Linked DNA regions of Rattus norvegicus. The protein of the gene in region 1 purifies or fractionates together with the protein of each later gene. This does not show direct contact. Links are inferred from orthologs where the notes say so. Each region holds a gene or a part of one and is shown on either strand. Other genes may lie near its edges.

What was found. The genes of interacting proteins can lie anywhere in the genome.
Region 2: the proteins of Rpl11 (region 1) and Gnl2 purify together in Homo sapiens (co-immunoprecipitation; 3 studies listed by BioGRID and IntAct, with this or other methods). This does not show direct contact. The link is inferred for Rattus norvegicus from reciprocal best matches to the Homo sapiens genes RPL11 and GNL2.

Annotation. Positions count from the first base shown.
Region 1 is NC_086023.1:153,557,984-153,562,235, reverse strand, and holds the start of Rpl11 (large ribosomal subunit protein uL5), read left to right. Parts: upstream 1-1,433; 5' UTR 1,434-1,775; coding exon of another isoform or gene 1,776-1,802; coding exon 1,803-1,926; intron 1,927-2,872; coding exon 2,873-2,979; intron 2,980-3,178; coding exon 3,179-3,310; intron 3,311-4,210; coding exon 4,211-4,252.
Region 2 is NC_086023.1:142,584,175-142,587,820, reverse strand, and holds part of Gnl2 (nucleolar GTP-binding protein 2), read right to left. Parts: intron 2,773-3,646; coding exon 2,633-2,772; intron 1-2,632. UniProt on the Homo sapiens protein: GTPase that associates with pre-60S ribosomal subunits in the nucleolus and is required for their nuclear export and maturation.

The DNA.
Region 1 (4,252 bases):
GTGACACTGAAGTACCTATTTTTTTTTTTTTTTCCCGGAGCTGGGGACCGAACTCAGGGCCTTGCGCATGCTAGCAAGCGCTCTACCACTGAGCTAAATCCCCAACCCCCTGAAGTACCTATTTTACACAAGGGGAAAGAAAACAGACTGAAATCATTTAAATTAGTAACTAGTAAGTTGAATTAAAACCACACCTGCCTGTATTCACAGCTCAGGACTCTATTTTCAAATTTTATTTAGCATTTATTAGTTTATCTATATGAAAAATTTTCCCCCCGCACATGTGTTCTTGCAAGTGTGTGTCTGGCGTCCTCGGGAGGAAGGCAAGGGCATCAGACTGTAACAGCTGATTTAAGCCACTACGCTGATTAGTATAACTTCTATGTTAACATTGTTACAAAATAAATGCCCTAGAATCTGTACAGTTTATCCTTTTACTTATGTAAACGAGTGTTCTATCTGCATGTACACCTGCATACTAGAAGAGGGCATCAGTTTAGTTGATTGTGAGCCACCATGAGGTTGCTGGGATTTGAACTCAGGACCTGTGGAAGAGCTGTCAATGCTCTTAACTACTGCACCATCTCTCCAGCCTCAGCTTATTTTGAAAATTTTGCTTATTTTTTTTTATTTATATGGGTGTTTTGCCTGCCTGCCTGCATAACCTGGTGCCTGTAGATGCCAGAAGAGGGATCTGTCTCCCTGGAACTGGAGTTACAGCCAGTTTTTTTTTTTTCTCCTTCGGAGCTGGGGATCGAACCTAGATGCCTTGCGCTTGCTAGGCAAGCGCTCTACCACTGAGCTAAATCCCCAACCCCAGCCAGTTTTGAAATACAGCGTACATGCTGGGAACTTTGCAAACCAAGGTCCACTTAAAGTACGGCTATGACTCTGTTCTTGAAGTGATGGACTCAAGAACATACCAGTCTACCTGGTTTTCAAAAGACCTGGTCTTTAGCCCGAGATGACTGCAGTTCCGAGGACGATCCACTAGAGGAGGCAGCGCCAAGACAACCGTGCCTCTCTTTCCCACTCTCACCTCGTTTGTCAGCCTAGGAGAAAAATCCCGCCTCCTGACCCATAAGGCCACGGGGCCGGAAGTCCCACTCTCTCTTCCTGTTCTCCACCATGGCGGTGAGTAGAGCAAGAGTTGCTTTTGCCTCTCTTTCATCCATCTCCATCCGCGGCCGGCGGAGCCCACGAGGGCTGTTTCGCCGGTGGCTGGAGGAGGACGGAGCCCGCGATGCTGGTGGCATTAAGACCGGCAGGGCTGTGCGGGCGCAGGGCTCGCCCGTCACGTCGCCGCCCATCGTAGGAATGGGGCTCAGGTCAGCGGCCCCGAGGGCCCAGACGCGGGGTCTGGGGGCTTCCGGGAGCGCGAGCGGAATGTGCCGAGCTCTCTGTCGGGTCCCAGCCCAGGGGACTTGAAGCTTGTTTGGTGCTGGGGAGCATCTGCGGGTCCCTACTCAGGACTGGTGCTCGCTTGCAGACAGCTTGGGAAGGAGGAGGGCAGGTCGCGTAGGCCGATGTTTCCTGTAGTTTGTCATTTTAAGGTTACATTGTATTCTCTCCTGTCTGATTGGCTTTCTATAAGCTCTTGTGTCTATTACCCAGAAACATCGACCGCCTTAGCATTCAGGCTTACTCAGTGCTCCTCCGCCCCAAACACTGAGACCTTTTTAGTCCTTAGTCCATAGGATTCGGGACCGTAGAGATCAGACTGGAGAAGACATTGGCTTCTCGACTTTGACGGCTGCGTTTACTCTTTTCTGCAGCAAGATCAGGGTGAAAAGGAGAACCCCATGCGGGAACTTCGTATCCGCAAGCTCTGCCTCAATATCTGCGTGGGGGAGAGTGGAGACAGACTGACCCGAGCAGCCAAGGTGTTGGAGCAGCTCACAGGCCAGACCCCTGTGTTTTCCAAAGGTGAGTGGTGATGGGCTAGCCAGAGAGGCGTGGATGGAAGGCCTCAGTCCATCTAGCCGGAACAGGAGTGCGAATAGGGAGCTAGAGTAGACGTGTAGTATTCCGCCTGGTTGACAGGTAAGAACAGGGTTAATACATTACACTGCTGGGGTGAGAGACTATCCGTTCTTATTCTTAATATTCATGTTCGTATCTGAGTACTCTGTTTGCTTGACAGAAGAGGGCGTGAGATGTTGTTATAGATGGTTGTGAACCACCATGTGGGTGCTGCTGGGATTTGAACTCAGGACCTCTTTAAACCACTGAGCCACCTCTCCAGCCCCCTATCAGTGCTTCTTAACTTTAGGCTCTACCTCAGCTTCCTTAAAATGAATTCTGATTCCCTTGTGTGGCCACATGGGAGGTGTTAATGTGCTTGAAACATGGGGTCTGTTGGGAGTGTGGTTATAGGTGGTCTGTTGTTGGGATTGGATACCCTTTCTTAGTACCACCGGTGAGCCTGGGCTAGTTAGCCTCAGGACATCTGGACAGTCGGCCTTTTGAAAATACTAGCTTTTACCAATGTCAACCTCCCAGCTTGTCCCTTCCACACCCCATTCTGGATTTTGAATGCAGGTTCCTGTATGATAGAGCATAATGTTAAGCTAGGCCTGGTAGCCTATGATTGTAACTCCTGTACCCGGACTGAAACAGGAAGATTGCTCCCAGGTCAAGGCCAGCCTGGGCTACATTTGACATTCTCAAGGAGTATTAACGGTGCTAACCTTTGTCTCTGACTTGCCTAATGTCATGAACTCTGGGGATTGTAATGTTCTTAGCTGAAGTGCGGCTGGGGACATTAGAGCTGGAAAGCTCTGTTCTGTGTTGGTGGGTGAGGTTGATTAACACGTTAGATGCCGGGCAGTGGGAGTAAAATGTTACCTACCTCTCTGTTCCCTTCTTGCAGCTAGATACACCGTCAGGTCCTTTGGCATCCGGAGAAATGAGAAAATCGCTGTTCACTGCACTGTCCGTGGAGCCAAGGCAGAGGAGATTCTGGAGAAAGGCCTGAAGGTGAGGTGGGCTGGCCTGGAAGTGGGGAACATTTGATGGATGATGAGAGATGATTTGGTTTAAGGGAAGGGTTGCCTGTTCTCCTGGCTGGGATGCACAGAGTTTTGGTTTTGCTCCGGACCTTCTGGGTGTTGGTCTGAGCTCATACTATGCTCTTTAAACACAAGGAATAACCTGGTTGCTCTTTATGTCTCCTCAGGTGCGAGAGTACGAATTACGGAAGAATAACTTCTCAGATACCGGCAACTTTGGCTTTGGGATTCAGGAACACATTGACCTAGGCATCAAATATGACCCAAGCATTGGCATCTATGGCCTGGATTTCTATGTGGTATGTGGAATGTGGACTTCTTGATCCCAAGCTGCCTGTGGGGAGAGGGCCTGCTGCTCCTCTGTCTGTTGTCCGCACATGCTGTCTTGCTGTTGGGATGTAGTGCTGGGTTGAAGTCTGTGTCTTGTCTGCCTGTGTGTCCCCCTTGAGAGAAGGGCCTTGTTCTAGCAAGTGTACAGGTTCAACCACACAGGGTTGACAGGTCTCTGCTGTGCAAAGCTCTCTGGGAGAAACCTGTGCTGCCTTTGTCCCTGGCATTGGCTACCCTGTCTCCACTCATCCCTAGTCTCTGGCACACGTGAGTTCTGTGGGGAAGACATGGAAACAGACTGTGCTCAAGTGGGGTTTTCATGTGGAAATGACTCTGTTACCACAGTGCTTCTGTGAGAGCAAAGAGCCAGACGTAAAAGTGAGACCTGAGGGGGAGGTCGGTTAGGGCGGCAGAGCTCTGGGCAGCTTCTGAACCAAGGGGGTGAGTGTGCCTTTGTGCCTTTGGGTGCTTTACATTTCTTCACATTACACATGTTGAAGGTTTTTGTTGTGAGGCAGGGTCTTTGGTTTACAGCCCAGGCTGGCCTTGAACTCCCTGCATGTTAGTATTACATGTGTGTCTGGTGCCTAGAGGCCAGAACAGGTCAAGGGAATCAGATCCCTCTTGAGACTGACGTTACAAGGCTGGAGACCAGTTGGGGAAGGAGCCTGCAGGGCATGTGTGTTCAGAGCTTGGTGTGTTGTCCGGGTAGCTAACGACACTTCCGTCCAACAGAGGTACTGGTCTTGCTTCAGAATCTGTTAAGTTTCTGGATGACTTGAAGATCGGTCTCTAATGTGTGAGTCTTGTCTGTCCACTGGTGACCCGGCCCTAGGCTGGCTAGATGACTGTTGGTTATTCTGGCACAGGTGCTGGGTAGGCCAGGTTTCAGCATCGCAGACAAGAAGCGC
Region 2 (3,646 bases), about 11 Mb from region 1:
ATGGCTAAAAGGAATTGCTTGTTTTATAAGATGCATTTTAGTTTCAGATAACATTCTCCCTAATTTAGGTAACGTTTTTATTAAATGCACATGGAAACGCTTCAGATGAAAAACATCTAGCAAAAGTCCAAAATAATAGGTTAGATGTGATAAAGGGAACCCGATCCTAACTAGAACTTGATGCGCTGTGGAGGAGTTACAGGCGTGGCAATTCTTGAAGCAGGATAAAAGTCGGAGTTGGAGTTAGGATCTACCTCATTGGAGAATGTTACAGGCTGCAGACTCTCTCCTTTAAAACAAAACAACACACACCTTTCTCTCTTAGCACAGGGCCCTGGGTAAGCCCAGCTAGGGGGCTCATGAGTGGTGGAGCAGTCACAAGCCTTCCTAGGACCTTTAGGTGGCCTCATTTACTGGGACTCCCTGAGCCCATGGCTTATATTTTCTTGCTAGTTTCTAACTGAGCAAATGTCCATCCACAAGGAAAACTGTATTTTCTGTGGCAATGGGTTCTGAAATCAATGAGTAAAAATCAACTATGACTGGGCTGGAGAGATGGCTCAGTGGGTAAAGACCCAGCTTAATCCCTGAAAGCCATGTTAAAAAAACTACACAAAAAGATGCAGTGGTGTGAATCTGTATCCCAGGAGATGAAGAGTGGGGACAAATGATACACAACCATATCAATTATACAAATCAAGGGTGAGCATATATTATCCTCAGAAATCTTCTAACTGGGCTGGAGAGAGAGCTCAACAATCAAGGACATATATTGCTCTTCCAGAGGACCTGAGTTCAATTTCCAGTACTTAAATCGCTGGGATCACAGCTGCCTGTAACAGCTCCAAACCAGGGGATCTGAAATCTCTAGCCTCCAAGGGCACTCGTACTCACATGCACAAACACATCACACACACACACACACACACACACACACACACACACACACACACACACTAAAAATCAAACCTTCAAAAAAACCTTGTAACCTATGCAACACATGGTTTTGAACCGATAAGTTTACTTTCTGTAATACTACACAATTAAAATGCACACACAAAGTTAAACTATTTTTACTCCATTCCTACAGAAATGCATTTAACACACAGAACTGAATGTGTAAAAGAACATATCTGATTTGAGTCCCCTGTGCAGAACCATTTCAGAACTAGAGTCCATACCATACCATGCCAGTCACTGGATTAAAATAAAGGGTTTTCAAAGCCAAAGCAGAAAGCCCACCAATTATTCTGAGTATTTTCCTGCATCAAAACACAAGCTGACTCCCAAACTGAGGGTTCCCTCACTTCACACATCAGATATCTGAGCAGCCAACAACTGGCGCAAGCAACAAAGCAATAAATCCACAACAGAACTCTGTTCTTCCCAGAAACGGACTCAAGGGTTGGTTAGAAGATGGCTTTAGGGAGAAGAGACAAAGAGAACAAGGGAAATGAGCAACTTGTCTGTGGCCCATGAATTACACTCATCTGTCTCCCTGAAAGGAAACAGTCACTCACTAATAGGTGCCATTCTTCAAGCCCATCATAAAACAGAACATAATTGACAAAACCTGAGGCAATAGGCAGCTTTGCTTTTGATTTTTGTTCTGCGAGTAAACACTTTTCTTTGAACTGTTTAATCCTTGTATGCATGTCAGTGTTTCCCTCCCCTCCTCGGACTGGCACTGAAGCATGTGCACTGGCTGGGTTTCTGGGAATTATTATTCAATGCAAATTTAAAATGTGCAGGCGAACGTTAAGCCACTCCTTTGTTCCGTGTGAAGTGCTTCTGCTCTGGCCAGAGTCAGCCCTTACTGTACTACAACTCCAGCAACCAACAATCGCACCAGCACCCTTTCCTGTACCTGGAAACCTCCAAGTTCAGAGTTCAGAAAACTCTGAAGGACTCCTTCCATCTCAGCCTTCACTCTACACCTCCCGGAGATGACGAACCAGCACCGACAACCCCAGGCGCTTCCTAGTCAGCCTGGCCTACTTATTAAGTTCTAGGCCAGCGAGAGAACCTGCCTCAGGAAGGGAAGGGAAAAGGGAAGGGAAGGGAAAAGGGAAGGGAAGGGAAGGGGAAAGGGAAGGGAAGGGAAAAGGGAAGGAAAAAGGGAAAAGGGAAAAGGGAAAAGGGAAGGGAAGGGAAGGAAGATAGTACCTGAGGAATGACAGTCAAGGTCTTCCTCTGGCCTCTACTTGTGTGTGGAGACACACACACACGCACACACTCACACACACGACAGTAGTTAACAGCTATCACCTCTTTAGCCATGGGCAGGATGTTGCAGGCTTCTGAGACCAAGCCCTTACAGGTGCTTCAGCTGTATGCAGACATGAGAAGAGGCAAGAGTGTTCTCTTTACAGCAAGGAAGCTAAGATTCATGGCAAGTCATAACTAAGAACAGAGAAGGGCTGAGTGAAGATGGAAAGTCCTGTTTGGATCCACACAGCGCTACACTGCACCTCCTGGACCAAACTCAATTCACAGCCAGGGTGACAAAGGAGAGCACCTAAAGCTAACAAAACCTTCAGTGCTGCTTAGGAAACAACCACAAACTAAAGCAGTGTCTGTCTGCCCAGAGCTGGCCAAGACACCGCAGCACCAACAGGGCGCGCTGTCTTACATGAGGCTGGACTCGATCGTGCAGAAGAGACATCGGTAATTTGCTTTGTTTCATCACAACTTTGTATGGATCCTTCATAACTTTATCCATTTCCTCTTGAAATTTTTGTAATGATGCCTGCTTGATCACACGAGTATTTCCTGTGTCACAGATAGAGAACATGCCATTTAGTACAGAGATTGGTTTTGCCCCTCGCTCACCTTTTGACAGGGGAAGGCAAGACACCAGGTCATTCTCAAGTCCCCCAGAGTCTACACATTCATCACTCCTTAGAACTCTCTGCAAACTTAAGGAGGAAACATGTCTCTCCTGCACTCACACACTGTGTATTCAAACACCAACTAAGACATAATGGGTTTCAACAGTTTTCAGAACCCAACTTCCTGACTGGATGAAACCAAAAATTAAACATCACTGAATGGAACCAAGATTTGACAAATGTTCCTGCCAGTCCTGGCAAAGAAACCTGGCGCCAATCCCAGCTCATCGGTTCACACAGAGAAGGAACCCCAAACCTCAGAGTTAAGAGGGCTTGAAGGGACTACTAAAGCATCCAAGACACATGCAAGAAGGCAAAAGCACCCAGAGAACGCTAGACCCTTGGATGCTGAAGACAGCATTCAAGTCAACAACAGCAGATGCAGACACAAGGGTCAAGGACTCAACACTCTCTACTTGCTGGGCACTCTGCTAAGCCCGTCACATGGATTTCTTTTTAAATTTATGACGGGGGCACCACAGCACCTGTGTGGAGCTCAGAGGACAGCCTGCAGGAGTCATTATCCCCTTTCCGCCTTCTACTCTGTAGGGTCCAGAGATAGAACCTAGGTTGTCAGGCTTGAGAGGAATGATCTCACCACTGAGCCTCCATACTGATCCTCGGTTTTTTGTTTGTTTTTGAGACAGAATTCCAAGCTGTCCAGGCTGGCCTTAAACTTCTGAGTCTCCTGCCTCCAACTCACAGGTGTTAGGATCACAGGTGTGCCCTCACCACAACCATCTTGAGACACTACC